7 linked regions of the Xenopus tropicalis genome follow. Each later gene encodes a partner of the first gene's protein in a complex. Links are inferred from orthologs where the notes say so. Each region holds a gene or a part of one and is shown in the gene's direction. Other genes may lie near its edges.

The links.
Region 2: gpkow (region 1) and snrpd2 share a complex: the UniProt entries of both Homo sapiens proteins name them as parts of the minor spliceosome. The link is inferred for Xenopus tropicalis from reciprocal best matches to the Homo sapiens genes GPKOW and SNRPD2.
Region 3: gpkow (region 1) and scnm1 share a complex: the UniProt entries of both Homo sapiens proteins name them as parts of the minor spliceosome. The link is inferred for Xenopus tropicalis from reciprocal best matches to the Homo sapiens genes GPKOW and SCNM1.
Region 4: gpkow (region 1) and dhx16 share a complex: the UniProt entries of both Homo sapiens proteins name them as parts of the minor spliceosome. The link is inferred for Xenopus tropicalis from reciprocal best matches to the Homo sapiens genes GPKOW and DHX16.
Region 5: gpkow (region 1) and cwc15 share a complex: the UniProt entries of both Homo sapiens proteins name them as parts of the minor spliceosome. The link is inferred for Xenopus tropicalis from reciprocal best matches to the Homo sapiens genes GPKOW and CWC15.
Region 6: gpkow (region 1) and sf3b2 share a complex: the UniProt entries of both Homo sapiens proteins name them as parts of the minor spliceosome. The link is inferred for Xenopus tropicalis from reciprocal best matches to the Homo sapiens genes GPKOW and SF3B2.
Region 7: gpkow (region 1) and rnf113a share a complex: the UniProt entries of both Homo sapiens proteins name them as parts of the minor spliceosome. The link is inferred for Xenopus tropicalis from reciprocal best matches to the Homo sapiens genes GPKOW and RNF113A.

Annotation. Positions count from the first base shown.
Region 1 is NC_030684.2:23,990,553-23,994,781, forward strand, and holds the start of gpkow (G-patch domain and KOW motifs-containing protein), read left to right. Parts: upstream 1-1,427; 5' UTR 1,428-1,455; coding exon 1,456-1,661; intron 1,662-4,229. UniProt on the Homo sapiens protein: RNA-binding protein involved in pre-mRNA splicing. As a component of the minor spliceosome, involved in the splicing of U12-type introns in pre-mRNAs.
Region 2 is NC_030684.2:70,386,141-70,390,353, reverse strand, and holds the start of snrpd2 (small nuclear ribonucleoprotein Sm D2), read left to right. Parts: upstream 1-1,346; 5' UTR 1,347-1,417; coding exon 1,418-1,419; intron 1,420-4,213. UniProt on the Homo sapiens protein: Plays a role in pre-mRNA splicing as a core component of the spliceosomal U1, U2, U4 and U5 small nuclear ribonucleoproteins (snRNPs), the building blocks of the spliceosome.
Region 3 is NC_030684.2:137,909,012-137,913,300, forward strand, and holds the start of scnm1 (sodium channel modifier 1), read left to right. Parts: upstream 1-1,429; 5' UTR 1,430-1,524; coding exon 1,525-1,575; intron 1,576-2,421; coding exon 2,422-2,492; intron 2,493-2,615; coding exon 2,616-2,704; intron 2,705-3,261; coding exon 3,262-3,359; intron 3,360-4,246; coding exon 4,247-4,289. Other genes in the region: lysmd1 (lysM and putative peptidoglycan-binding domain-containing protein 1), read right to left, coding at 844-1,014. UniProt on the Homo sapiens protein: As a component of the minor spliceosome, involved in the splicing of U12-type introns in pre-mRNAs. Plays a role in the regulation of primary cilia length and Hedgehog signaling.
Region 4 is NC_030684.2:75,482,082-75,485,676, reverse strand, and holds part of dhx16 (putative pre-mRNA-splicing factor ATP-dependent RNA helicase DHX16), read left to right. Parts: coding exon 1-42; intron 43-215; coding exon 216-426; intron 427-533; coding exon 534-632; intron 633-957; coding exon 958-1,110; intron 1,111-1,994; coding exon 1,995-2,135; intron 2,136-3,595. UniProt on the Homo sapiens protein: Required for pre-mRNA splicing as a component of the spliceosome. Contributes to pre-mRNA splicing after spliceosome formation and prior to the first transesterification reaction.
Region 5 is NC_030678.2:164,535,056-164,539,284, reverse strand, and holds the start of cwc15 (protein CWC15 homolog), read left to right. Parts: upstream 1-1,383; 5' UTR 1,384-1,418; intron 1,419-2,885; 5' UTR 2,886-2,896; coding exon 2,897-3,027; intron 3,028-4,229. UniProt on the Homo sapiens protein: Involved in pre-mRNA splicing as component of the spliceosome. Component of the PRP19-CDC5L complex that forms an integral part of the spliceosome and is required for activating pre-mRNA splicing.
Region 6 is NC_030680.2:40,081,425-40,085,300, reverse strand, and holds the end of sf3b2 (splicing factor 3B subunit 2), read left to right. Parts: coding exon 1-6; intron 7-618; coding exon 619-761; intron 762-1,262; coding exon 1,263-1,364; intron 1,365-1,692; coding exon 1,693-1,792; intron 1,793-2,056; coding exon 2,057-2,242; intron 2,243-3,157; coding exon 3,158-3,229; 3' UTR 3,230-3,300; downstream 3,301-3,876. UniProt on the Homo sapiens protein: Component of the 17S U2 SnRNP complex of the spliceosome, a large ribonucleoprotein complex that removes introns from transcribed pre-mRNAs.
Region 7 is NC_030677.2:156,458,486-156,462,549, forward strand, and holds the start of rnf113a (RING finger protein 113A), read left to right. Parts: upstream 1-1,210; 5' UTR 1,211-1,228; coding exon 1,229-1,319; intron 1,320-2,197; coding exon 2,198-2,271; intron 2,272-2,598; coding exon 2,599-2,706; intron 2,707-2,947; coding exon 2,948-3,055; intron 3,056-3,589; coding exon 3,590-3,699; intron 3,700-3,823; coding exon 3,824-3,930; intron 3,931-4,064. Other genes in the region: noc4l (nucleolar complex protein 4 homolog), read right to left, coding at 966-1,112. UniProt on the Homo sapiens protein: Required for pre-mRNA splicing as component of the spliceosome. As a component of the minor spliceosome, involved in the splicing of U12-type introns in pre-mRNAs. E3 ubiquitin-protein ligase that catalyzes the transfer of ubiquitin onto target proteins.

The DNA of each region.
Region 1 (4,229 bases):
TAAAATATATGAAAGTCTAATGTTTATCAGTACATTACAGAAAATAATGAACTTTATCACAATATGCTAATTTTTTGAAAAGGACCTGTACATCCTTTGACACTGGCACGAATGGACACAGACACACCCAGAGATTACTCACACAGGCACACAAGAAGCCACATGGACCCACAAACATACACATTCTCTCACACAGGCACACAAGAAACCACATGCACATCCTCTGAAACAAGCACACATGGACCCAAAAACATACACTTTCTCTTACACAGGCAAAAAAGAACCCACATACACATCCTCTGAAACAAGCACCCATGAATACACATTCTAGGAAACAGGCGCTCATGAATGCACATTCTCTGAAACAGGCACCCATGAATGCACATTGTCTGAAACAGGCACCCATGAATACACATTCTCTGAAACAGGCAACAAAAATTGGTATGGTAGGATGGAGCACGCCAGGACTACTGTGATAATAAAAATATTTATCCTTTATTTGTCGCTTCCATTAAAAACACATTACATAATTGAAGAACGGTTACTCCCCAGCTTAACGCGTTTCGTGGCTCACGGCCACTTCATCAGAAGCAATAAACGGAGTCCCCCACCCCCCTGTTGCTTAAATACCCTTCAGTAGTGCACACCCAACACCTCTTTAACCCCCTGTATGCCACATACTCATCCTCAGGTTAGACACACCCAGCACATCCTTAACCCTAGGAGTACCATGTAGAACCATTGCATCAGCTTTTGTTAAATGTACCCCATGTGGTAAGGATATCGTTCAGACATATCCCCATGAATAACGAAATATAAAATGTCATGCTGAGATATTACCCCCACACAATAAGAGAATAAAACAGGCACCCATGAATGCACATTATCTGAAACAGGCACCCATGCATGCACATTCTCTGAAACAGGCACCCATGAATGCACATTGTCTGAAACAGGCACCCATGAATGCACATTATCTGAAACAGGCACCCATACATGCACATTCTCTGAAACAGGCGCCCATGCATGCACATTCTCTGAAACAGGCGCCCATGCATGCACATTCTCTGAAACAGGCACCCATGCATGCACATTCTCTGAAACAGGCACCCATGCATGCACATTCTCTGAAACAGGCACCCATGCATGCACATTCGCTGAAACAGGCACCCATGCATGCACATTCTCTGAAACAGGCACCCATGCATGCACATTCTCTGAAACAGGCACCCATGCATGCACATTCTCGGGAACAGGCGCCCATGCATGCACATTCTCGGGAACAGGCACCCACGCATGCACATTCTCGGGAACAGGCACCCACGCATGCACATTCTCGGGAACAGGAACACAAACAATCTCGTTCCATGGTAACTGCTAGTTCTATAACCCTCGTTCCCTCCACGAAAATCCCAGTATACCCACAATGCGTTGCGACGCCCTGCTCTTCCCACAATGCAGCTTTTCATCGTGTTGGTAGACTTTCCCAGGATGCTTTGCGCTACTAGCGAGAAAATGGCCGCTGGCGGCTCTTCGCAAGCTCCAGTATCTTTTGGATTTAGTCGCAGTTCGAAAAAGAAATTCCTTGTGGCCAATGGAGATGAGAGAGAAGAGGACGAGAAGGAGTATTTGGTCGGGGCAGAGGGTAAAGAGTTGCTCAGGTAAGATATAGATATAGAGTGTTTGCGGGAGAAAGTGGCAAGTGCAACACTGCTTGGGTTTGTCTGCTGTAGTTACTTGTAAAGTCAGCGTGGGTTTGTATTATTTCTCTCTTATTATATAATAGTGTATAGTACACATGGTTAACCTCTTCTTTACTATTTCTGTTGCTGCACCCATACAACTGTATATTATATATTAGAGGTGCTAATGGGTTGCCATGTAGCTCTAGCTTCACTTCAGTATTTGGAACGGTCGGAGTTGCAGTTTAGCAATAGCTGAAGGACCATAGACTGACTCCTGAAACCATGCAGTAGCAGAAGTCTGTACTCCAGGTCTGTTAAAGGGGTTGTTCACCTTTAACTTTACCTATGATGTAGAAAGTGCTATTTTCAGACTGTTTACAATTGGTATTTATTCTTTATTATTTGAGATTTTTGAATTATTTAGCTTTTTGTTCAGCAGTTCTCAAGTCTGAAATTTTTGACAGCTGTCTGGTTGCTAGGGTCCAATTTACTATAGCAACCATGCAGTGATTTGAAAGAGAGACAGAAATATGAAACTACCTTCTGGGCAGTGCACCACCAACATCGTTTTCCTGTTCCTGGTCATTAGGGATGCGCTGAATCCAGGATTCGGTTTGGGATTTGGCCACGATTTGTCCTTTTTTTTTTTTTAGCAGGATTAGTATTCAGACGAATCCATGATCCTGGCCGAACTGAATCCTTAAAGGAGAAGGAAAGGCTAAGTCACTTGGGGGTGCTAAAATGTTAGGCACCCCCAAGTGACTTAAATCGCTTACCTCGTACCCTGGGCTGGTGACCCTGTTAGGAGAAAACAGCACCAGCCCGGGGTACCTGCAGCGATGCGCTTCCGCCTGCATTTCGCTAAGACTAACACAATAGGCGCATGCGCAGTAGAGTGAAAAGCCGACTTCTCGGAGGAAGCGCTGCAGCTACCCCGGGCTGGTGCTGTTCTCTCCGAACAGGGGCACCAGCCCGGGGTAAAAGGTATGCGATTCAAGTCACTTGGGGGTGCCTAACATTTTGGCACCCCCAAGTGACTTTCCCTTTCCTTCTCCTTTAAAACCACGTGACTCTTTGTCACATAAACATGGAAGCTGAAATTTTTTTGCAGCACAGACCGTTCTCTTTAACCCTTTCTTACCCTAACTTTTATATGTAAATTCTGATTTAGTTTGTTACTCGCCCATATCTTTTAAGGATTTGGGGTTCGGCTGATTTCGAAAATAGTGGATTTGGTGCGTTCATACCAGTCAGCCCCAGTAATCGAACTTGGTACATGTGCAGCATAAATATCTGCAAAATGTCGTGTACTGCAGGTGCTTGCTTAAGGTGGTGTAGGGAATATGTGGGAAAATAGAAGAAGATGACTATGTTCACAAGTCACCCAATACTGGTGCATTTTTTAGAAGAAGAGGAGAGCCAGTGGGGTAGTCCTTAGCCTAAAATATTTTCACTTCCAGAGGTTTTTCCTTTCGGTGCAAGGTAAATTACTTTGGAAAATGTGCAATACATTTATTGTTATGTTTCATGCTTGTTATAACACTTCCTTCTTTATTACTACAGCTTTGGCCTGCGTTGCAAGCAGCATGTATATTATAGCATCACCTTAATGTTATACAAAAGGGGTCAGATATTGATGTGGCTGGGGAGATAATCCTTTCAGCTGAATGGGCTAGTTTTAATAAAGAGCAGTAGCAATGATGCTTGTGTCACTAAAATATACAAAATAATAATGTGCTTCTCTTTGAATAATAGATTTTTCTTCCGTCTCGGGGACATATGGGGTTAAGCTCCACCTTTTAGGAGGCAAGACACTTGATTGACAAATTAAAGGGACGTGCCAGGTGGGGCTTTACCCTTCCACTGTACCCGATCCATCAGTTTTTCAAGTGTCGTCCTACCAGGAGGATGGACAGCCAGGTCTCTAGTGAGATTTTTCAGGATTCCTTCAGTCAGGGCCTAGCCCTGACACCCCGGGTGACACCAGGAACAGGGTTACCTGTTGCCTAAATGGTTAACCCCTACACGGGACGCCCACCGGGCTCAACACCTGTCCCAGTGGGGACTGTACAGACCACCCAGACAGTTTCCTGCTCCTTAGAGCAACTGCATAGGGTCTGGCTGGGTGGGCCCGCGACCCCCCTCTGTGTAGCCCCCCCACCTGTCTGGCTGCTTTGATGGATTACCTTTCTGTAAGCTTTAAATGGTATTAGTACTGGCCCCCTGCATGGTTAACACCTCAGATTTAGGATGTAAACCCCCTGTATTGTTCACACCTTTTAATTCCTACATTGTTCACCCCGTGCAGTGTTCACACCTCAGGCTCAGGCTGTTATCACCCACATTGTATTCCTGTTCACACCTCAACTGTAGGAGCAGTAGAAACCCACAAATAGACCCTGCACACTATAAAAAGAACATATACTGTGGTGGTACTGCAATAAAAAAGTGTTTTAATATATAGTTATTGTGCAGACTGTAGGAGCAGTGGCAGGATTGTGTCACTGTAGGCTGCCTGTGTGTGCCATACTCTGCCTGCCATAT
Region 2 (4,213 bases), about 46 Mb from region 1:
TTTATGAAGAAAACACACAACTTTTACCAGTGCAGAGCAATAGTACATAATATATTAATTATTTTTATACACTTTCATTTTTTGGTGTTACTGTTCCTTTAACTTTTAGTGTGTTATAGAATTGCCTATTCCTATTCATTATTTCTTATAGTTTTGAATCATTTTTTTATTTTCTTCTAACTCTTTCCAGCTTTCAAATAGGGGTCACTGACCCCAGCAGCCAAAAAACTATTGCTTGGTGAGCATACAGTTTTATTGTTATTGTTACTTTTTATAACTTGTTTTTCTATTCAGGTCCTCTCCTATTTATTTACCACCCTTTCATTCAAATTGCTACCTGGTCGCTAAGGTAATCTGGACTCTAGCTCTAAGATAGCTGATGAACAAAAAGTGAAAGAACTAAAAAAAATACTACAAATAAAAAATTAAGACCAATTGCAAATTGTCTCAGAATATTACACTCTACATCAGGGATCCCCAACCTTTCATACCTGTGAGCCACATTCAAGTGGAAAAAGTGTTTGGGAGCAACACAAGCATGAAAAAGGTTCCTGGAGGTGCCAATGAGAGCTATCATTGGCTATTTGATAGCCCCCATGTGGACTGGCAGCCTACAGAAGGTTCTGTTTGGCATTATACTTGTTTTTTATGGCTGCAAAACATGCCTCCTTTACCAGAAATTCAAAAATGAGCACCTGGTTTGAGGCCACTGGGAGCAACATCCAAGGGGTTGGAGAGCAACATGTTGCTCGCAAGCTACTGTTTGGGGAACACTGCTCTATATCATACTAAAAGTTAATTCAAAGGTGAAGAACACCTTTAAATCTGCTACGCAGTAAAGCTATCCATTCAGTTATTTTACACAATAGGACACTAAAAAGTGTACACATTTTCTGGTCGGTCTTCCAAATGCTTTTGCAATTCAGATTTGTTTTCAGTTTCAAAGTTATTAAGCATGTTATAAGCGTCTATTATAATTATTATGTAACAATTGCGCCACCTACTGGTATATCCCTCCAATTGCACAATCTGAGAAAACATGGTCAAAATGAAACATGGAACTGTTCTTATTGCGCTCTTTAGCGACTGAATTCCCAGCACAGAGCGTTGCCTTACATACTGGAACAATATTGGAATAAGATTTGCCTTGTCCTATAACCACTCTAGGAACTAGATGCGCCCTCTTTGTTAACTAATCCACCCCGCCTTTTCTCTGTCAGATTACGCCGCTGCCCCTCTGCGTAGCAAACTGGAGGGAACTTGTTTCGTGTCGATCACGTGGGCACGTTTCTACAGGCTTAACCAAATCAAGCAGGAACTAGCCGCTAAAGTGGCCCGGAAGCGGAAGTGGCCCTTCAAAGGAAGCGTTCTACACGCCGGGAAAACGTGAGAAGGGAAAGGAAAGACAAAAAGAAAGATGTGAGTAACTGGTGGAATATCTTCAGCCCAGCTTTAAATACTTAAAAATAAGGAAAAAAACTAGCCTTTTGTATCTACTTAAGTTTAGCTGATTGACGCTTAGAACGAATGCCTCTATGTAGCAGAGCATGCGATTGTACTAGCCGGAACTTGCCTGCACTTAGAAAATGCTGTGTAGTTCTGTGATTTAATTACTGTGGCAGAGATGGCAGTGCCAAAAAGCTTCCCTTGCAGGCTACCAGCACCAGGTCGTGTGTATAAACAGCTCCCCGGGTTTTCTCATTATGCAATTGCATGTGACACTTGCTCACTATATACAGGCATGTTAATAACATGGCTACCTGCAGCAAGTTCTCCATCATCCGGGTGTGGGTGGCACATCGCTATGAGCATTTTTTTGGACAAAATGGTACTGTTTCCCCCAACCTAAGTGCGGGTTCTATTAGCCCAATTCAAATCCGATATGTGTCTTTTAATACTAAGCAACTATTCAGTATACACGATTTAAACATTTTCAATGGTTCTAAATGTTTTCAATCAATTTCTAATCAATTCCATATCTTTCCTGGTTGGACCCACATGACAAGTTTCTACAAAGGAAATATTCTGCAGCTTTATGTGCTTGCACGATTATAGAGATCTGTGTGGTCAACTTAAACACTAATTTGTGTTTAAAAAATGCATATGACTGAAAAATATGCCTTTTAACACATTCAGCCCAGACTTTTTTGTTAGTTTATTAAGGCTTAATTGCTCTAGCAATAAGGGGTGGGACTTCACACATGCTCAGTAATGTTTTTGACTATGGGGCACTCCTTTAAAAACATGGAGGCAGCAAGTAGATAGCGATGGGTAAAAACAGCTTTAAACATGATTATTTGGGGAAAATTAAACCTAGTAATTAAAATCGTACCAAAATGGACAGTTAATAGGGTAACCCATTTTTAATAAAATTGTATTCTCCATTAAACAAAAAATCACCAGTAGACGTTTTGTTGTCAGAAAAATAGTGTTATATCTGATTTAGTACAGTGGTGTGAAAAACTATTTGCCCCCTTCCTGATTTCTTATTCTTTTGCATGTTTGTCACACTTAAATGTTTCTGCTCATCAAAACCGTTAACTATTAGTCAAAGATAACATAATTGAACACAAAATGCAGTTTTTAAATGAAGGTTTACGTTATTAAGGGAGAAAAAAAAACTCCAAATCTACATGGCCCTGTGTGAAAAAGTGATTGCCCCCCTTGTTAAAAAATAACTTAACTATGGTTTATCACACCTGAGTTCAATTTCTGTAGTCACCCCCAGGCCTGATTACTGCCACACCTGTTTCAATCAAGAAATCACTTAAATAGGAGCTACCTGACACAGAGAAGTAGACCAAAAGCACCTCAAAAGCTAGACATCGTGCCAAGATCCAAAGAAATTCAGGAACAAATGAGAACAAAAGTAATTGAGATCTATCAGTCTGGTAAAGGTTATAAAGCCATTTCTAAAGCTTTGGGACTCCAGCGAACCACAAATGGCAAAAACATGGAACAGTGGTGAACCTTCCCAGGAGTGGCCGGCCGACCAAAATTACCCCAAGAGCGCAGAGACAACTCATCCGAGAGGCCACAAAAGACTCCAGGACAACATCTAAAGAACTGCAGGCCTCACTTGCCTCAATTAAGGTCAGTGTTCACGACTCCACCATAAGAAAGACACTGGGCAAAAACGGCCTGCAGGCAGATTTCCAAGGCGCAAACCACTTTTAAGCAAAAAGAACATTAAAGCTCGTCTCAATTTTGCTAAAAAACATCTCAATGATTGCCAAGACTTTTGGGAAAATACCTTGTGGACCGACGAGACAAAAGTTGAACTTTTTGGAAGGTGCATGTCCCGTTACATCTGGCGTAAAAGTAACACAGCATTTCAGAAAAAGAACATCATACCAACCGTAAAATATGGTGGTGGTAGTGTGATGGTCTGGGGTTGTTTTGCTGCTTCAGGACCTGGAAGGCTTGCTGTGATAGATGGAACCATGAATTCTACTGTCTACCAAAAAATCCTGAAGGAGAATGTCCGGTCATCTGTTCGTCAACTCAAACTGAAGCGATCTTGGGTGCTGCAGCAGGACAATGACCCAAAACACACCAGCAAATCCACCTCTGAATGGCTGAAGAAAAACAAAATGAAGACTTTGGAGTGGCCTAGTCAAAGTCCTGACCTGAATCCTATTGAGATGTTGTGGCATGACCTTAAAAAGGCGGTTCATGCTAGAAAACCCTCAAATAAAGCTGAATTACAACAATTCTGCAAAGATGAGTGGGCCAAAATTCCTCCAGAGCGCTGTAAAAGACTCGTTGCAAGTTATCGCAAACGCTCAATTGCAGTTATTGCTGCTAAGGGTGGCCCAACCAGTTATTAGGTTCAGGGGGCAATTACTTTTTCACACAGGGCCATGTAGGTTTGGATTTTTTTTCTCCCTAAATAATAAAAACCCTCATTTAAAAACTGCATTTTGTGTTTACTTGTGTTATCTTTGACTAATAGTTAAATGTGTTTGATGATCAGAAACATTTTGTGTGACAAACATGCAAAAGAATAAGAAATCAGGAAGGGGGCAAATAGTTTTTCACACCACTGTATATATTCCCAATTCTTGCATAGACCAGTATGTTAATGAAATCTAAACTGTGGTGGGGCTAATAGTGACATGAATGGTTTATAATCTCTCTAAAGAGCTGCAGAATGTATCAGCGCGTTATAATAATCTGTATGTATACACCCTTTTATTGCACAGTGCCAATA
Region 3 (4,289 bases), about 110 Mb from region 1:
AGCCTTGCCCACTGCTAATGACTCTACCCATGTACCCGGCAGAGCTTCCCTCTTTGAAGACAGATTGTAGGGAAGAGAGGTGGGAGTCTGGGAGGCTGGTTAGTAGGAGATTGCAGTAATCTAAGCGAGAAAGGATAAGGGCATGGATTAGTGTTTTAGCTGTTACTTGTGAAAGAAAGGGGCGTATCTTGGCAATATTGCAGAGGAAAAATGGCAGATAACCCCAAGGCAGCGTGCAGAATTAACAGGGTTAACGGTCATGCCATCAATAGTCATGGTGAAAGGAGGAGAAGTGATATTTAAGACCAAAAGAAGAAATAAGGTCTCCTAAAGAGAGAGTGTACAGGGAGAACAGCAAAGGGCCAAGCAAAGGGCCCCACACTGAGCTGAACCCCCACACTGAGCTGAGCCCCCACACTAAGCAGAACCGGGGTAGGGGATTGGTTAGTAAGAGCGACAGAGAAGGAGCGGTTAGAGAGATAGGAAGAGAACCAGGATGCAGCCTGATCCCGGATACCCAGAGAATGGAGACTTTGTATAAGGACTGAATGTGCCCTGACAGTGTCGTGCACCAAATTCACCATATTTTCATTTCCCTTCATGTTTATCAGGCCCACCGGCTGTATCTGAACCCAATGCCTTCCTGATAACATCCTGGGGGGTTGGTTCTAGGGTGGGGCAGGTAAGGCATGTCCCCTGGGGGGGGGAGTAGAGAACTGTACAAAGGGCATATGAGACTAACAGCTGTTAGATATTACCAGTTATACACAAGGGGTCTCCAGCTGTTGCTAAACTGCAACTCCCAGCACCCTACACCCTATAATAGGAAGGTACCGTACTCACCGTGACGCCGTATCTGAGTGCCAAGCCCTGCAGTGTGTCCCCGGGCTGGACCTGGTGCTCCAGTTTGCGGATCCGGGCCGGTGAATAGGGCGACTGGACTAGGCTGCCATAGGAACGGGTCCTGGTTCCATGGAGAAGCCCAGAGTCTCTGTGCCCAGAGTTGGATGCCATGGCTTGTGAGCTCTAAAGGGCAAGTTAACTATACATTGTCTGACTGGGCAGAGGTGGAGGCAGAAGTGGAGGCAGAGATGGAGTCCCTGCAGCCCTCAGTCACATGCTGGGCTACTAATTCAATCAGACTGAAAGAAAAAGGGAGAATTCATTAGTATCACATGACAGCACTGACAGGGGTTTGCCCAAGGGGGTTGGGCTGGGCTAAAAGCTGCCCCAATACCCCCAGCACAGACCCACAGCCCTTCCAGCTGCCCAGCACAGGCAAGTACCCAATAATACACAGCTCACTGCTGGGCAGGGGTGACAGGAGCAAGGCATGCCGGGAGCAGTAGTGCAGCACAGGCTCTGCCCCAGGATTCGCGGCTCTCACGGAACTACAAGTCCCATAATGCCCGGACTCCGCCTCCTCCTCTCCGGAAATAAACTACATTTCCCGTAAGGCCGCAGAAAGGAGTACGGTGGCCGCGCAGGGTTACAGCTCTCAAAGGGGGCGCTACAGGCTGGGCTATGTCGTTTAAACGGGATGGGGATGATCTGAGCCAGCTGAACGTTCTAAAGGTACGGGGTGATACCCATACAGGGGAGGGGAGGGTGTCTGGGGGGGGAAGGGTAGGGTATGGTGTCTAGAGGTGGGGGGAAGGGTGGGGTAGGGAAAGGTAGGGTGCCTGGGGGTGGGGGGAAGGGTAGGGTGTCTGTGGGTGGGTGGGGTAGGGTGCCTGTGGGTGGGGGTAAGGAAGAGTAGGGTGCCTGGGGGTGGGGGTAAGGAAGAGTAGGGTGCCTGGGGGTGGGGGTAGGGAAGGGTAGGGCGCGTGGGGGTAGGGAAGGGTAGGGTGCCTGTGGGTGGGGGTAAGGAAGAGTAGGGTGCCTGGGGGTGGGGGTAAGGAAGGGTAGGGTGCCTGGGGGTGGGGGTAGGGAAGGGTAGGGCGCGTGGGGGTAGGGAAGGGTAGGGCGCGTGGGGGTAGGGAAGGGTAGGGCGCGTGGGGGTAAGGAAGAGTAGGGTGCCTGTGGGTGGGGGTAAGGAAGAGTAGGGTGCCTGTGGGTGGGGGTAAGGAAGAGTAGGGTGCCTGGGGGTGGGGGTAGGGAAGGGTAGGGTGCCTGGGGGTGGGGGTAGGGAAGGGTAGGGTGCCTGGGGGTGGGGGTAGGGAAGGGTAGGGCGCGTGGGGGTAGGGAAGGGTAGGGTGCGTGTGGGTGGGGGTAAGGAAGAGTAGGGTGCCTGTGGGTGGGGGTAAGGAAGAGTAGGGTGCCTGTGGGTGGGGGTAAGGAAGAGTAGGGTGCCTGTGGGTGGGGAAGGGTAAGGTGTCTGTGGTTTTGGTTTGGGGTGTGGGTAGGGTGCCTGTGGCAGAGTAGGGTGCAGTTGTAAGGGGGAAGGGTTAATTTAATATCCCATTTCCTGTCTCCCTACAGAAGAGGCGAGTGGCGGATCTGCTGGCCAGTTACATCCCGGAGGATGAGGCTTTGCTTCTTAAAAATGGCAGGTAAGGGTCTCTCCACTGATTGGTTCCCTCGGTGTGGGCCCCTGGGAGGGCTTGCTTCTATATACCCTTATATTCCGGGGCCCCTGCCTATCCCTCTGTGTAACTGTGTTGTGTATATAACAGCTACGCTTGCACCGTGTGCCATCACCGGCCCGTCTTCAGTACCATCGATATGTTGTCTGTGCACAGAAGCGGGAAGAAGCACTTAGCCGGTAAGTTACTGACTAGAAAAGAGATCCATTTCCTGTCTTATGACTTCATTTCCTCTCCAGATTTCTGACATAACGTCCTGTCTGGCATTTGCGGATCCGAAGACTTGCCTAGGGATGTTCCCCTGTTGATTTATTAATTATTTATTTTTGTATTTATAACTTCCTGTCTGACTTTGTGACTTAACTTCCTGTTATGACTTCATTTCCTGTATGCCATTTTAATGTGGAGCCTGTAGCTACTGGTCTCTGCCCCAATACCAGGTTTTATTCTGTCTCCTCCCCCATTATCTTTCTATACAGGCCCTCTTCTGTTCATATACCAGTTTCTCATTCATTCTGCTGCCTGGTTGCTAAGGTAGTTTGAACCCTAGCAACCACATAGCTGCGGAAAACTGCAAATAATAAAAAATGAAGACCAATTGCAGATTGTCTTAGAATATTCTCTATATCATACTAAAAGTTAACTCAAAGGTGAACATCCCCTTTAATGACTGGTCACATGTCTATAATACATATTTGTGCAATGGGCCGCTGACTCCCTCTCAACTCTCCTACAGGTCAGCAGCGGTATTACGGCAAGAAGCTGGAGCATAACAATGAGATCCAGAAGAGGCGCCATTTTGATTTTGTACAGGCAGAAGATGCAGGAGAACAGGTGGGCAGATTTCTCTTTCTCCAGGCTATTGGCTATTAGGGGGCTGTTCCTGCTGAATTGTGCTTAGTACAGGGGAATCCCTATGTGCCATAGTTTTATGGTATCTCTCTGTACAGGCTATGAGCAAACTTAGGGGGTTGTTCCTGCTGAATTGCGCTTAGTACAGGGGAATCCCTATGTGCCATAGTTTTATGGTATCTCTCTGTACAGGCTATGAGCAAACTTAGGGGGCTGTTCCTGCTGAATTGTGCTTAGTACAGGGGAATCCCTATGTGCCATAGTTTTATGGTATCTCTCTGTACAGGCTATGAGCAAACTTAGGGGGCTGTTCCTGCTGAATTGTGCTTAGTACAGGGGAATCCCTATGTGCCATAGTTTTATGGTATCTCTCTGTACAGGCTATGAGCAAACTTAATGGGCTGTTCCTGCTGAATTGTGCTTAGTACAGGGGAATCCCTATGTGCCATAGTTTTATGGTATCTCTCTGTACAGGCTATGAGCAAACTTAGGGGGCTGTTCCTGCTGAATTGTGCTTAGTACAGGGGAATCCCTATGCTGCCATAGTTTTATGGTATCTCTCTGTACAGGCTATGAGCAAACTTAGGGGGCTGTTCCTGCTGAATTGTGCTTAGTACAGGAGAATCCCTATGTGCCATAGTTTTATGGTATCTCTCTGTACAGGCTATGAGCAAACTTAGGGGGCTGTTCCTGCTGAATTGTGCTTAGTACAGGGGAATCCCTATGTGCCATAGTTTTATGGTATCTCTCTGTACAGGCTATGAGCAAACTTAGGGGGCTGTTCCTGCTGAATTGTGCTTAGTACAGGGGAATCCCTATGCTGCCATAGTTTTGAGTAACTTTTTTTTATTTGCTCTCATATCTGCCAGCGTCCACCAGGTCCCGCCCCTTTGCTGGTCCAGACAAGGAAGA
Region 4 (3,595 bases), about 51 Mb from region 1:
ACTGCGGGAATTTCTCACTGAGCCTGATCTGGCATCTTACAGGTATCCATTATGCAATCTCTGGATTTGTATGTATTTAGGCAGGGGACTTCTGTTACATATGAATACATCATGCCTCATACAGAATCTTTAGAAAAATTAATTCATTTGTACAGCGACCAGCCTGTATTCTGTATTACTCTCTCCATTTCCTTATCATTTTTTTTTTCCACAAGTGTAATAATAATAGATGAAGCTCATGAAAGGACTTTGCACACAGATGTTCTTTTTGGCCTCATTAAAGACATTGCCCGTTTCCGCCAAGACCTCAAAGTTCTGGTAGCCAGTGCCACCCTAAACACAGAGCGATTTTCCTCCTTTTTTGATGATGCCCCAGTGTTTCGTATTCCTGGGCGCCGGTATCCAGTGGATATATATTACACCAAGGTAAATCACTGTAGGTTTGACACGAGAATTGACATTGGCAGCATTATTGATGAGATTGGGCATTTTATGTTTATTTCCTTTTTTGATGAATGATATTTTCACAACAGGCTCCTGAAGCAGATTACTTGGAGGCCTGTGTGGTGTCAGTGTTGCAGATTCATGTTACCCAGCCACCAGGAGACATCTTAGTCTTTCTTACAGGACAGGTATGTAGGCAGAAGTGGGAATGTGCTAACCAACAAATATATACGTTTTGGTATTTAAAAAAAAAAAAAAAAAAAAAAAAAGTTTGAAAAGTCACTGACCTTAGGTTAATGTGATATGGGATTATTTGACTGCCTAGATAGAAGTCCCTTCCAGTTAACATCTGTAGGAAATGCAAAAAAAAAAGCTCATGCTAAATAGTGGCAGTGTGAATTTTGTATGTGCAATAACCCTTTGTTAGGTTTATCATTTAATGTAAATGTACTGATGTTATAAGCAGTGCCACTGCTATGCAGTCTTGGTACATGTACATTTCATATGTTGCAGGAGGAGATAGAAACATGCTGTGAGATGCTACAAGAGCGATGTCGTCGACTAGGATCCAAGATTGCAGAGATGCTGGTGTTACCAATATATGCTAATTTGCCTTCTGACATGCAGGCAAAGATCTTTGAACCTACACCTCCAGGAGCAAGAAAAGTATGAGAGTCTAGCTGGTTTTCTTGTACTTATTAAATAGTAAAGTCTGACTCCCACCCTTCTGCCGGACCTAAACATCTAAAATGACGTGTCTGGACATCATCTTGTAGTGTAACCCAATTATGTAGAGAGAGAAATAACTAAACTAAATGCTTAGCACACCCTTTAAGAATAGCACAGACAAAAGATGCTATAAGTTATTCCCTTACATTGTGTGTTTCAGAGAGAAGGGAATTGTGGTACTACTTCTTCCTATAAGGAGTCTGAGGCAAATACCATATGCAGTATTGGGCTGCCCTTCTAAACCTGAGCTGTATAAACTGATGTAACTACCAGTAACTACCCTAAACTGGCACTCCAACGATGTTTTATTATGAATTGCTTCCAGACTCTCCCACAGGACCTACATGGCCTCTAGTAATGTGATTAAGTGTACACAATAGCTACATATGAGGTCTTATTAAATATAGAAAACCTACAATGTGTTCATTAAGGCATGTTAATAAATACACATTATAAAGTATAAAAATGACTGAAACCATTCTAAAGCTGGTATTATATGACTGTGGTACTAACAGAGCATTTCCTTGTATCCAACCCTTGTATATCTGTATAACTGTATGACACTCCCAACCAGTTTAGTTACCATAAGGTTGTCTTTAAAGAAGAGTTCTTATTAATTTGCAAACATACAGGGGTGCCACCCTCAAAGCAGGCTATTCCACATATATATTTTGCAGCTGTATCTGTCATATATAGTGCTTAAATGTTAGGCAGAGCGTCTCAGGGCATGACATTTCCTCTTCCTATTCAAACATGCTGGAGTAGTAGGTTAGAAGGAGTTATGAACCTTTTAGCATTGTCGTATTTTCTTTTTTTTTCAGGTTGTGATAGCCACTAACATTGCTGAAACATCACTTACAATTGATGGAATTATATATGTTATTGACCCAGGTTTCTGCAAGCAGAAAAGTTACAATGCTCGATCAGGAATGGAGTCCCTCATTGTGACTCCCTGCTCAAAGGTAAGTCTTACTAATCTGTTGAACCAATGCTGTCCATCATTTTCAGTGTAGAAGTTTTCAGGCAGATTTTTTTTTATAGATTTAAAAAAATAAAAAAAAAAAGTCTATGGCATACTTGGGCAGACATAGGGTCAAAAAATCTTTGGTACCACAATTGGACAGCTTTAGTTCACCTCCTGCAAGATTTTCAGCCTAACATTAATTTATAACTGCAGAATAGCCCTTAATTTAATAATCAATGAGAAATGCTTTCAAAACAATAAGGGTAAACCCTTATAATGAGGTGTTAGTACCACACTTTGGCCAAAATATGTAAGCTCTTGTGCCACGTCAAGGCCCCTCATTGTACGCGAGTCCTACACTGTCTAATGACTTTGAGTCTGTGATGCAATTAAAATCAAGTCCCCCAGCAAACAATGTGACTGAGTAGTAAGACCCTGTTGCACCTACCTTTAGCTCAAAAAGGCTCTAGTGGAAAAGCAGGGAACTTTTAAGCCCCAGCTCATTAGCACACACATGAAAGTGATTCATTGGTTTAAAGGCTACATAGCAGCTAGAAGCAAAATTTGGCTACAATTTGTACACAAAACACAGAAAGAAATCGCCAGCGCTCGGTCTAACCCACGCTGTAGCGTTGACCAGCTGCTAGAAACACCCTTGTGCCAGCGCTCGGTCTAGCCCACATTCTGGAGTTGACCAGCTGCTAGAAACTATAAAAAGCCATTAATTATACACAAAGAGAAAGAAAGATTGCCAGCACTTAGTTTGCCTTTAAAAATAATTTTTACAAAAAATGAGGTGTTAGTACCACACTTTGGCCAAAATATGTAAGCTCACGTGCCATGTCAAGGCCCCTCATTGTACGCGAGTCCTACACTGTCTAATGACTTTGCTGGGGGACTTAATTTTAATTGTATCACAGACTCAGTGTGACTGAGTAGTAAGACCCTGTTGCACCTACCCTTAGCTCAAAAGGGCTCTAGTGGAAAAGCAGGGAACTTTTAAGCCCCAGCTCATTAGCACACACATGAAAGTGATTCATTGGTTTAAAGGCTACATAGCAGCTAAAAGCAAAATTTGGTTACAATTTGTACACAAAACACAGAAAGAAATCGCCAGCGCTCGGTCTAACCCACGCTGTAGCGTTGACCAGCTGCTAGAAACACCCTTGTGCGCTGGCAATCTTTCTTTCTCTTTGTGTATAATTAATCGCTTTTTATCGTTTCTAGCAGCTGGTCAACTCCAGAATGTGGGCTAGCCCGAGCGCTGGCACAAGGGTGTTTCTAGCAGCTGGTCAACGCTACAGCGTGGGTTAGACCGAGCACTGGCGATTTCTTTCTGTGTTTTGGTAAACCCTTATAATGTCAGCCTCGTCTTGCCAATATTAAAACTAGGCCTTAAAGGGGCGGTTTGCCTCTAAGATAACGTTTATAGATACATTTTAGAATGTCCTACTCCTA
Region 5 (4,229 bases), on another chromosome or scaffold:
ATCTCTCCCTTATATCCAAACCTGGAGTTTCTCTTGCTCCAGATAATCTCCCGTTTGGGAATATACTGTGACCTGAGCCAGCCACTGAATTTCCCTGAGCTACGGCCAGTAATGCCGGGAGGTGATAACCTCACTGATCTCCTCGGAGGGGCCTCAAACTGCCCAACTAAATACACTATCTATCTAGTATAAATAAATTTAAAGCAACTGGACTTGTTTGGTAACAAACAAGTCCAGTTGCTTTAGGGCTCTGGCACATGGGGCGATTAGTCGCCCGCGACAAATCTCCCTGTTCGTGGGTGACTAATCTCCCCGAGTTGCCATCAGTTGCCATCCCACCGGCGAACATGTAAGTCGCCGGTGGGATGGCACACGCGGCGCGATTTCGGCAAGTCGCCGAAAATGCCTCGCGAGGCAACTGCGCAGCGTGTACCATCCTTACATGCTCGCCGGTGGGATGGTAGTTCAGGGAGATTAGTTGCCCGTGACAAGGGAGATTTGTTGCGGGTGACTAATCTCCCCTTGTGCCAGAGCCCTTACATTTATTTATACTAGATATACCATGACCTGGATGAATGAAAATCTTCATAGACATACACTATCTATCCTTTCACTCCTAGAGTGACAATAAAATGTCTAACTGGCTCCTGTAGCTAACCTCTTAGAGAGGTGAAGTCCCAGGAAGAAGACCTCATGGTTTGTGAGTCCATTCCCTTTTATATTGCAGAACACCACCACCTAGTGGTCACTGCTGAACTGCAGAGGAAACTCTCTTTTAATCTGGAAAGAATAATTATAATAATATAATAATTAAAGATGAATTAAAAAGTTAAAAAAAAAATTGTAGATGTTTATGTAAAGTTGGGGGGAACACAGGTCAAAAAATTTCATAACGGTAATGATGCTTCATTGTTATTTGTATATGACAATAAACTAGAAACTATAGCACACACACAATTAGGACCACCCTTAGGTCCATATCCCACAAGGCCACCCACTGGTATGCCTGTCTAAAGGGGAACCCAGGCACAGGGGCCCAAATCTTGGGGTCCCTACATAAAAATTATTAAAAAGAATTAATGAATAACAAAAAAGGGCAACTAATTTAGTAAAGAGAAATCTCAGTTATGAAAAATGACTGCTCGGAAATGTTCTTATGTAAACCAACACAGAGAAGTCAGAAGCCCTGCACAGTGTTATATAATATTCTCCCTTTACCGCACATACACCCCCTGATTCATTACATAGCCACAACAAACATGGCCGCCGACGGCTTCCAATCAGCTGGAACGCCCTCTTGCTTACGTGACGCGTACTCCGAGCGCCGGAAGTTTCCCGGTGGAAAGAACTAGCGCGACGGGTAATTGTGACGCCAGTCGCCGTGGGATTTGGTGCTGGGGCTGAGGCGCTGTTACGGGGTGAGCGAAATCGCACCTTTGGGAAGAGGGGAATTCAGGCTGAACGGCAGCGATTATTTTAGTCATAGGGGATTGAGGCCCTCTAGGAGCAATATATCGCCCCCCACTATCCCTGTTGGCTGGGGAAGCTTACAGCTCGGCTTTATCTACTTAGCAATACTGTACCCTCCTGCCCAGTCTGTGAGTCCCCTGCTAATGTAAGGGAACTCGGCTGGTTAAGCCTATGGCCAGCAATATCAACTTGAGGGACAATTGAAAGTACAGGCATGGGATCCCTTATCTGGAAACCTGTTATCCAGAACGTTCCAAGTTACAGAAAGGCCATCTCCCATAGACTCCATTTTAATCAAATAATTCAAATTTTTAAAAATGATTCCCTTTTCTCTGTAATAATAAAACAGTACCTGTACTTGATCCCAACTAAGATATAATTACCCCTTATTGGAGCAGAACAGCCCTATTGGGTTTATTTAATGGTTAAATGATTCCCTTTTCTCTGTAATAATAAAACAGTACCTGTACTTGATCCCAACTAAGATATAATTACCCCTTATTGGGGCAGAACAGCCCTATTGGGTTTATTTAATGGTTAAATGATTCCCTTTTCTCTGTAATAATAAAACAGTACCTGTACTTGATCCCAACTAAGATATAATTACCCCTTATTGGGGGCAGAACAGCCCTATTGGGTTTATTTAATGGTTAAATGATTCCCTTTTCTCTGTAATAATAAAACAGTACCTGTACTTGATCCCAACTAAGATATAATTACCCCTTATTGGGGGCAGAACAGCCCTATTGGGTTTATTTAATGGTTAAATGATTCCCTTTTCTATGTAATAATAAAACAGTACCTGTACTTGATCCCAACTAAGATATAATTACCCCTTATTGGGGGCAGAACAGCCCTATTGGGTTTATTTAATGGTTAAATGGTTCCCTTTTCTCTGTAATAATAAAACAGTACCTGTACTTGATCCCAACTAAGATATAATTACCCCTTATTGGGGGCAGAACAGCCCTATTGGGTTTATTTAATGGTTAAATGATTCCCTTTTCTCTGTAATAATAAAACAGTACCTGTACTTGATCCCAACTAAGATATAATTACCCCTTATTGGGGGCAGAACAGTCCTGTTGGGTTTATTTCATGGTTAAATGATTCCCTTTTCTCTGTAATAATAAAACAGTACCTGTACTTGATCCCAACTAAGATATAATTACCCCTTACTGGGGCAGAATAAGCCTATTGGGTTTATTCAATATTTGAATGATTTTTACCAGACATAAGGTAGGAGATCCCTTATCTGGTCACGAGCATTCTGGATAACAGGTCCCATACCTGTAGTATCATTCTGCCTTTCCTGTGCTCTGCGCTGCTGCTTCTGACTCCTGAAGCTGTGTAGAAAAAGTCAGCTTATGAAAGTAGGAATTTTAAAACAGTTCTTGTATTTGTGTGTGAAACAGTTGTGTAAAAGATGACAACCGCGGCCAGGCCAACGTTTGAACCAGCAAGAGGCGGCAGAGGTAAAGGGGAAGCCGATCTCAGTCAGCTCTCAAAGCAGTATTCCAGCAGAGACCTCCCCTCTCACACTAAGATCAAATACAGGTATGTGAGTGGCTAAGGCATGTAAGATATTTGTTCTGTAGTCCTTAACATGGCACAGTGAATTATGTTGGTCATTAAAGGGGAAGTATATCCCCCTTTTCAAGATTATTTCACTTGTGCTTGTGTTGAACATTCTTTTTGTTATTATTTACAAACCATTATGAGACACCTCTGTATATGGGTGAAGACACACGGAGCTACTAGTAGCAGCTACTTGTCACGGCTACTAAAATAGACAGTGCTGATCATTTACTGATAATTGTCTCTAAATTGTGTGTTTTAGCAGAGGCAATTCTCAGTATTGTCTGTGGCAGGGGATTTTCTGGCGTTTAGTAGCCGTGACAAATAGCTGCTACTAAGTACCATGTGTCTTCATCCTAATACCTGTTCCTTATCACAGAGCCTAATGACTAAAGGCTGCCCCTGGGGGAAGGGAGGGGTTTGTTTATACAGTGGACTTTTCGTATGTATATATTTATTAAGCGGTACTTATGTACGCAGCGCTGTACAGTAGAATACATTAATACAAACAGGAGGTTATTAAAATAATAGATAAATACAAAGTATAACAATAAATACAGATAAATACAAGATACAGTTGCAATAAGTTAAGAGTCAAAGACACAAGAGGATGGAGGTCCCTGCCCCGTAGAGCATACAGTCTAGATGGGAGGGTAACTTACAGACACAAATAGGCAAATATAAGTGCTGTAGGTCACAGTGGGTGACATTACAATATAAGTGCCAGTTCCCAGATCAGGTGCTGGGTGAGTGCTCCAAAAGTTAGTCTTTAAGTTTAGTTTTAAGAACACTGGGGAGGATTTTCTTCGGAGGAAATCTGGGAGGGCATTCCAAATATAAGGGGCAGCAAGTTGGGAAACTGCAGTAGTAGTGGGGGGGGGGCGTAACCAAGCAGTTACTCTGCGAGGAACAGAGGAGTCGACCAGAAATGTACGGCGACACAAGGGAAGAGATGTAGTGAGGAGCAGAGGAATGGAGGGCTTTGAAGGTTAGGAGAAGGAGTTTGTAAGATATTCTTTGTTTAATAGGAAGCCATGATAAGGACTTTAGCAGGGGAAGGGCCTGAACTCTCCTGGATGAGAGGAGGAGAATTTTGGCAGCAGTGTTTAATATAGACTGTAGTGGGGAAAGATGGGAGTTAGGGAGGGCAGTTAGCAGCAGGTTACAGTAGTCAAGTAGTC
Region 6 (3,876 bases), on another chromosome or scaffold:
TTCCAGGTATGTATTTATCTATTGCCCTTTTATGGCTTCTTCTTCCACAGCTTCCTTTTCCAAACATATTCTCTTATCTGGATTTGCATCATATGGGTCCAATTTTCATGTGGAAATATGCTACTACTTTCATGCAAATCATTTACTTCACAACAAATTTAAATAAATGAAAATGTAAATTTCAGTTTAATGGTCCAGTACACACTCCTGTTTAACAATCAAAATGGATATTGTTTCTGTTGAAGGGAGCATATAAAAAGAAATGTATTCCTGAATGAAATGCTAGGAAAGGAGCATTCCCCTAGCAATGGTAACGAAGAGAGCATTCTATAAAAATGTACTATTCCAGATCCAAAAACAAAAATGAACAAAAAAACCTTCCATTCAGTACAAAGGTAGCTCAGGGGTATATATAACATAAGGCCTATTAATTGGGCTTATACTTTATATGGGTGTTTATTTTGCCCCCATTCAAATTTTTGATGCAGAAAGATGTTGAATTGCTGCCATAACCTTCAGAGGGTTAATCTGTATTCTTTGGCCAGTGTTAATTTCTGTACAAGTCCTCCAGATCCATGAATACAAAACCAGCTCTCACTTTTTTTTCTGCTTCTATAGAGCAAGAATGAAGAAGAAGATATAGACAGAACCCCGTGGGGAGAGCTGGAACTATCCGATGATGAATCATCTTCAGAGGAAGAAGAGGATGAGAGTGATGAAGATAAACCTGATGAAACTGGATTTATTACCCCAGCAGACAGGTGCGCTGCTAGCTTTCATATTTTTACATAGATGCTATGTACAAGTAGAATTTTTGGGTCTTTCTGGTCATCCTTTTCTTGGCTGTATTCAAACTGAGATCTTTGTTAAATCCTTAAAGGTTCTACCAGCAATTGAACATTTAACAATATCTAATATAACTATATCTATTCACCATCAGCCAATATAGTGTGTATTGGCAGTATGAGAGAGGTTTTTGTTCTATGTGTGCATAGAGAACAATGGATGCTTGACTTTTTTTTTTCTTTTTAAATTAGCATTTGGGTAATAAAACCAATAGTATTCTGAAAAACTAATCTGGTTTGCAAAAACTAGCCCTACAGCTCTATTGACCATTAGCAACCCCCATAGCTAAGCAGCGACATAGTAGTTAGCTATATAAACAGTACTAGAGATTTTTGTCACAACTGCTCAGTCTTTAGTTAATATTTTTTTAATTAATTTAATATTTTAAAGTATTATTGTTTTGTTAATTCTGGCAGTGGTTTAATTACCCCGGGAGGCTTTTCTTCTGTCCCTGCCGGCATGGAGACGCCTGAGCTGATTGAGCTGAGGAAAAAGAAGATTGAGGAAGCCATGGATGGGTAAGAATTGTTGAATCTGATAAATCTATTATTTTTGTCTTCCACACTCAAAAACAATTTTTATTACTTTGCTAAATTTAAGCAGTAATTTTGTGCGTGGGAGTGATGGAACTAGGTACAGTACCTACATTACCAAAAGGATTTTTGTGTAAGGTGTTGAAATGTAAAGTAATTCAAAGCTGCCTACACTAAGAAGCTTTACTTTTTGTATTTCTCTGTAAAGCTATAGATAAAGGCAATATGGCCTATTACATTGTGTTTTTTCCAAAAAATGTCCTGTTGTGTGTTTAATTTTTTTTTAATCCTCACTTAAAATGTTTTCTCTTAGAACGGAGACGCCACAACTCTTTACAGTACTTCCAGAAAAGAGGACTGCTACTGTGGGTGGAGCTATGATGGGCTCCACCCACATCTACGATATGGCCACGGTGAGAAGGGAATCCCGATGTTGTCAAAATCTTATTAGCAGAGGAGACAGGAGAAAAGAAAATAGTTTTAGAGGAAGGACAAAAATTAACGCCTGAGAGGCAGTTGGTGGTTGTACAGAACAGATTGGAATGATTTACTTACAAGGTTATATTTTGGGTGGGATAAACAGTGAGCTTATAACAAACAACAGGGAGACATAATTTAACCAAGTCTCTTCTAGCTCTGGGCAAAGAGATATTAATGTATTTTTAAATCTTCTACAGGCCATGTCTCGCAGAGGTACCGCCACTGAGCCACAGGGCGTAGAAATTGCTCTGGCCCCTGAAGAATTGGAATTGGATCCGTCGGCAATGACTCAGAAATATGAGGAACGTGTAAGGGAAGCTCAGGAGCAGGTACAGAAAGAAGACTTTAGTGACATGGTGGCAGAGCATGCAGCGAAACAAAAGGTATGTTGAAATTGTACAACCCAAAATAAATATATGTATATGCATCTGTAGTGTTAGTTTTTACAAGTAAGAGATTATCCCAAAACATTAGTGACTATTAGACCTATGTTACAGTCTGCTTCATCCCACAGGTATTCTGTTAGCTTGAGGTCAGGACACTGTTCAGACCGTTTAAGTTCCTTTACTCCCATCTCAGCAAATGAGTTCTGGGTTGAACAAAAGTTGTGCTTAGTGCATCATTGGGCTAAAACAGTATTAAAGCCTTTCCCAAACTCCTGGAATCTTGGCATTGTCTAAAATGTCATAATATGCTATAGTGTTAAGGTTTGCTTTCATGGGAACTAGGGGCCCTAGCCCAAGCTATGGAGTACAGCCCCAAACCTTTATTTCTCCTTTACAATAAACTTTACGAGTCCAGACAGGTAGCATTTTCCTGCCATAGGGCAGATAATCAGTAGCATTTTCTTGCCATAGGGCAGATAATCCGTAGCATTTTCACCACTGATTAGAAAGATGGACCCAAACTCCTGGCTTCAATATAAACAAAATATTTCAGAGAAGGAGCTGGTCCTCATTTATGCTTCCCAGACACACAACACAGCTCCTTTTCTCCCTGTATATCATACCTCTTGACATTTCGTGTAACAAACCTGCTATATATTGAGATATAATGCAACTATTTTTAAAAATAAAGTACATTAGGCTTCACTAAGCAGTTACATGAAATGAAAGCACTGCAACCTCATGCTGTTCGATGGTTAAGGAACCACTCGGTTACAATATTCACTCCACAGCAAGTGAAGTGTCCTTATTTGTATTATTTTTATGGATATACATAATAATATATGCATTCCTTTGTTACACCTATAAAATATATTCATTTTATTTCTCTTTTCTTATCCGTTGTACAACCAGCAAAAGAAGCGGAAGGGGCAACCACAGGATTCCCGAGCAGGTGGCAAGAAATACAAAGAGTTCAAGTTCTGAGTCTATTCCACACCCAGTTTTTTCTCTGTTCCTTTTACATTCTTTTATTTCTAATAAAACTGTTAAATTAACTGGGTTTGGTCTTTTCTTTATTTTCACATTTATTATATAGGTGTAATTGTTTGTTTAGGAATTAATTTTAAATAAATTTTAATATTTAATGGCGGTGTAACTGTAGGAGGTAAGATAAATTGCTAGGGGTGTTCATTGTAATTTAGTTTCCATGCTGGTGTCCATCATAGCAGTGATTCCCAACCAGTGGCTCGGGGGCAACATGTTGCTAACCAACCCCTTAGATGTTGCTCTCAGTGCCCCCAAACCAGGTAGTTATATTTGAATTCCTGACTTGGTGGCAAGTTTTGGTTGAATAAAAACAAGATTTACTACCAAATAAAGCCCCTGTAAGCTGATAGTGTGCATAGAGGCTGCCTAATAGCCAATCTTAGCCTTTATTTGGCTCCTCCATTAACTTTTATGGTGCTTGTGTTGCTCTCCCAAGTCTTTCTACATTTGACTGTGGCTCACAAGTAAGCCATATATAGCCATATAATGCTATGATCCATTTTATTGATATTGGCACAAGTGATGCGTGGGGCAGGAAATTGTCAACACCATACTAGCATAGTTAATGAAGGTAATGTAGGGAC
Region 7 (4,064 bases), on another chromosome or scaffold:
AACGACACATTAGCTTGCATGCAAGTATCTAGAGAATTTTTAAAGACCTCTAAGTTGCTCTCAGGAGTACATAGACTGTGATTACTATGGGGAGGAATATACAAGCTGTTACAGACCAAACAATAATCACAAGGGAACAGTTCCTGTGTGACTGATTCTATACCGTAATATAGGAGAACTGAAACTCGCAAACACATTTGTTGTTCTGTTTATGGAGGGGGTGAAAATGTGTGGTAATCGGAAAAGTGAGAGTCAGAAGGTTGCGGGGGATAAAGGGGAAAGTTAGGAAAAGTGTGAGATCAAAACAGAAGGTCCTGAATGAAAGGGCAGCGGAGGTAATAGGGAAAGCAAATGAGAAAAGACAAGAGGTTAGAAAGAATCTTTCATGGAATTGTCGTTGCTACTAGAATTTTCCTCTCCCATTACCCACAACTATGTATTCATGCCATTCTGTTTTCCCTGCACCACCCAGTGCTGATTCTGACTGCCAACAATTCGGCCTGATGTACCAGCAGTTCCACTCTTTTCAGACCTGAGCATTCAATCTTAGCTCTGCCCACCGCTGTCACGCCTTGCCCACCTGGCCCTGTCTGTAGGCTGCAGTCTTTTCTAAATAAATATTCAGACAGGATCTTTCTTGCTGATTAATAATAACATCAATTATACGTTGAGTAGGCTGGTAACCTTAGCAATCTGATATGTTACCCTCGCTAAAAGCTCTCTCTCTCTGCAAAAATGTAATTTTTCACATTTCCTTTTTTCCCTAATGGCCATCTCCCATCTGTCTTTTTCTATCACTGGTTGCCGAGCCCTGTTATAAGAACTTTAAAATACTTCCAGTCACACTGTTTAGACGTGCATACTGTCACACAAAATGTTGTGTTTCTGTTTCGTGCAAAAGATGTTCTTCTTTGTCAGGGCTGCTGTTATACTGTTTGCTAGCACACTGCAAAGCGGGCACTCACCTCCAGATGTTCCAGAATATCAAACACCGCGTTGGCATTGGTTCTACTTCCCAGTACTGCTGCGAGTTTGCTATCCAAATCGTGGCGCTCGGCATCACTTTGCTTGGCAAAGCTCGAACTCACACGTTTCGCTTTGCGCGCTGCCATCTTGCTACTGGAGCAACGCGACTTCCCCCCGGTAATGCGCCTGCGTGCGCTTTCTAAACAGGAAGTGGCCTCAGCCAATGCGCGCAATCTGGAGCTAGTCTGGCGTCACAGGAATAATGGCGGACTCTAACGCACCAGTTTGCAGTTTCGTGTTTAAAAAAAGTGCCCGAAAGTTCGCGGGACGGAAACGCAAAGAATCGGACAATGGTGAGACAAGGAGAAAGTGGGAGTGCAAATAAATGTTTATTATAATATAGTATTATAGGCATTACACGCTTACCGTGTATAAAATTCAGCAAAGTGTTGGGATGGAGTAAATGAGTTAAATGCAGAAGAGAGCGCAGATACAACTAATTGCGCAAGTGTTGTTGCTGTTAGCAACCAATAAGGTTTTTGCTTTTATTTTCAAACGTGTATATTGGCCAACTATTCGACTTTGTTCCTTACTCAAAACCACTATCTTAAAGGAGATGCAGGTGAGGGTGGCTGTATTGTTTGCTGGATATAATTACCATTAGAAATCAGTAGCATGTACCAGGGAATTAAGGTCCAAATGACAAAACAAAAATCAAACCCATCAAAGTATTTGCAAAACATTAACAACAACAAATATAATTATACATACAGCCTCATTTACTGTTCATTGGTACAGGTATGGGACCTGTTATCCAGAATGCTCAGGGCCTGGGGTTTTCCTGATAAGGGGTCTTTCTGTAATTTGGATCTCCATAACTTTAGTTTGTTAAAAATCATTTAAATATTGAATAGGATTGTTTTGTCTCCAATAAGGATTAATTATATCTTAGTTGGGAATCAAGTACAAGATACTGTTTTATTATTACAGAGAAAAAGGAAATCATTTCTAAAAATGTGAATTATTTGATTAAAATGGAGACTATAGGAGATCCGTAATTTGGAACTTTCTGGATACAGGTTTCCGGATAAGGGATCCCATACCTTTATGTCACTGGGCTCACATGCATTTGGTGTCTTAAATTTATCGAATTTCAGAATAGTACTTAGATGCATCTGTTGTATAAGTGTGTTGTACTATTCTGATCAGTCCTTTACTGATTTGTTTGCAGAGAGCAGCGAGGAAGAGAAAGGTCCAGTGATAAGGAGGATAAAGAAGGATGTGGTTAATCCCATGATTCAGAAGGTTAGAGTCACAGGTATTCACTATGTCACCCTGAGGCCCCAGGAGCATTAAGGAGCTTTATAAAATTTTCTGCCAGTTAATCTTTCAGAGTGGGCAGCAACACTTCTCCCAGATATTTCCTGTAGACCTCTCTGTTTAGAGATATAGATACCACATCATCTTCTCCTGGCAGCTAATGGCTGAATGGAAGCACAACACATGCCATAACCCTCTCCAGCCTGTCACCCTGTGTGCAGGACAGACGTTAACATGCCACAGAAGGGATGTGTGTAGTGTTTGTCCTCTTGAGCTTTCTGGTAGTTGTATTTACCTCTGTGTGTGATTTAGAGCAGGCAGCAACCAAAGGACTGTGAAGATTACAAAGCAAGCAGCAGTGAAGATGAGGACAAAACAGCGAAGTCTATCACTGTGTCTTATAAATCTACCCGATCTGCGGTAAGAGACTCTTTTGGAATTGGCTTATTCTTAGCACAGGCTTTATGTCATAAATGTTAAAATCTTTGAAACCCATCATCAGTTAGTTCTTTGTGATATTTTATTCAGTTTGTGAATCAGCCTATGCTGTCTGTCTTGTTTCAATATAAATGATGCATTGAAAAAAAATCTGTATTTATAGAATGACATGTCTAAGACACCCCCCATTTCTTACTATGTATGCATTCTTTGTTTCTTGCAGAAACCAGTAGGGCCAGATGACATGGGAGCCACAGCTACATATGAACTAGACACTGAAAAAGACAAGGATGCTCAGGCAATTTTTGAGAGGAGCCAGAAAGTACAGGAAGTGAGTATTTAGTATGTGATGCAGTGGATTATATATTCACCTTAAACTATGAGAGAACCACTAAAGCAGAGAACCCCAACCTTTCTTACTCATGAGCCACAATCAAATGTAAAAAGACTTGGAGAGCAACACAAGTGCCATAAAAGTTTGTGGAGGTGCCAAATAAGATAGGTAGCCTCTATGCACACCATCAGCTTACGAGGCTTTATTTGTTAGCAAATCTTGTTTTTATTCAACCTAAACTTGCCACCAAGTCAAGAATTCAAAAATGAGCACCTGCTTTGGGGGCAGTGAGAGCAACATCCAAGGGGTTGGTGAGCAACATGTTGCCCCCGAGCCAATGGTTGGGGATCACTAAGGAATGCAATAAGTGTTAGTAAAGCATGCAGTGTTCTGCATGACTTACATGCAGTTTCTTTAAAAATTCTGTGCTTTTTTTCTCTTCACTTTACTTTCTTTAATATTGTAATACTCTCCTTTTCATAGATGACACTCTGTTTAGTTCCCACTATTTATTTTGCTTTAATCTGACAGGAGTTGAAGGGGAAGGAAGATGACAAGATCTATCGAGGAATCCACAACTACCAGAAGTTTGTGAAACCCAAAGATACCTCTATGGGCAATGCATCCTCTGGCATGGTTAGGTACGTGTACCCCTCCCACTTTCCATTCTGTTTTAATTTAGAAACATTTCACTTTTCAATCAACTGGGTGATTAAATCCTAATAGTTTAGTCTGCATTGATAACTTTAACTTTTATCATTTTAGGAAAGGACCAATACGTGCCCCAGAGCACCTCAGAGCCACAGTACGTTGGGATTACCAGCCAGATATTTGCAAAGATTACAAGGAGACTGGGTTCTGTGGGTTTGGAGGTCAGTTGCTGGATTGTGTTGTACCCCTTTCCATTAAATGTCTGTTGTTCCTTTGGCCCTTTTTGCCCATATTTTATTCTCTCTTCCCTTACTATTATTTATTATGTAACACTGCAAGTTTTACTCACAGCTAG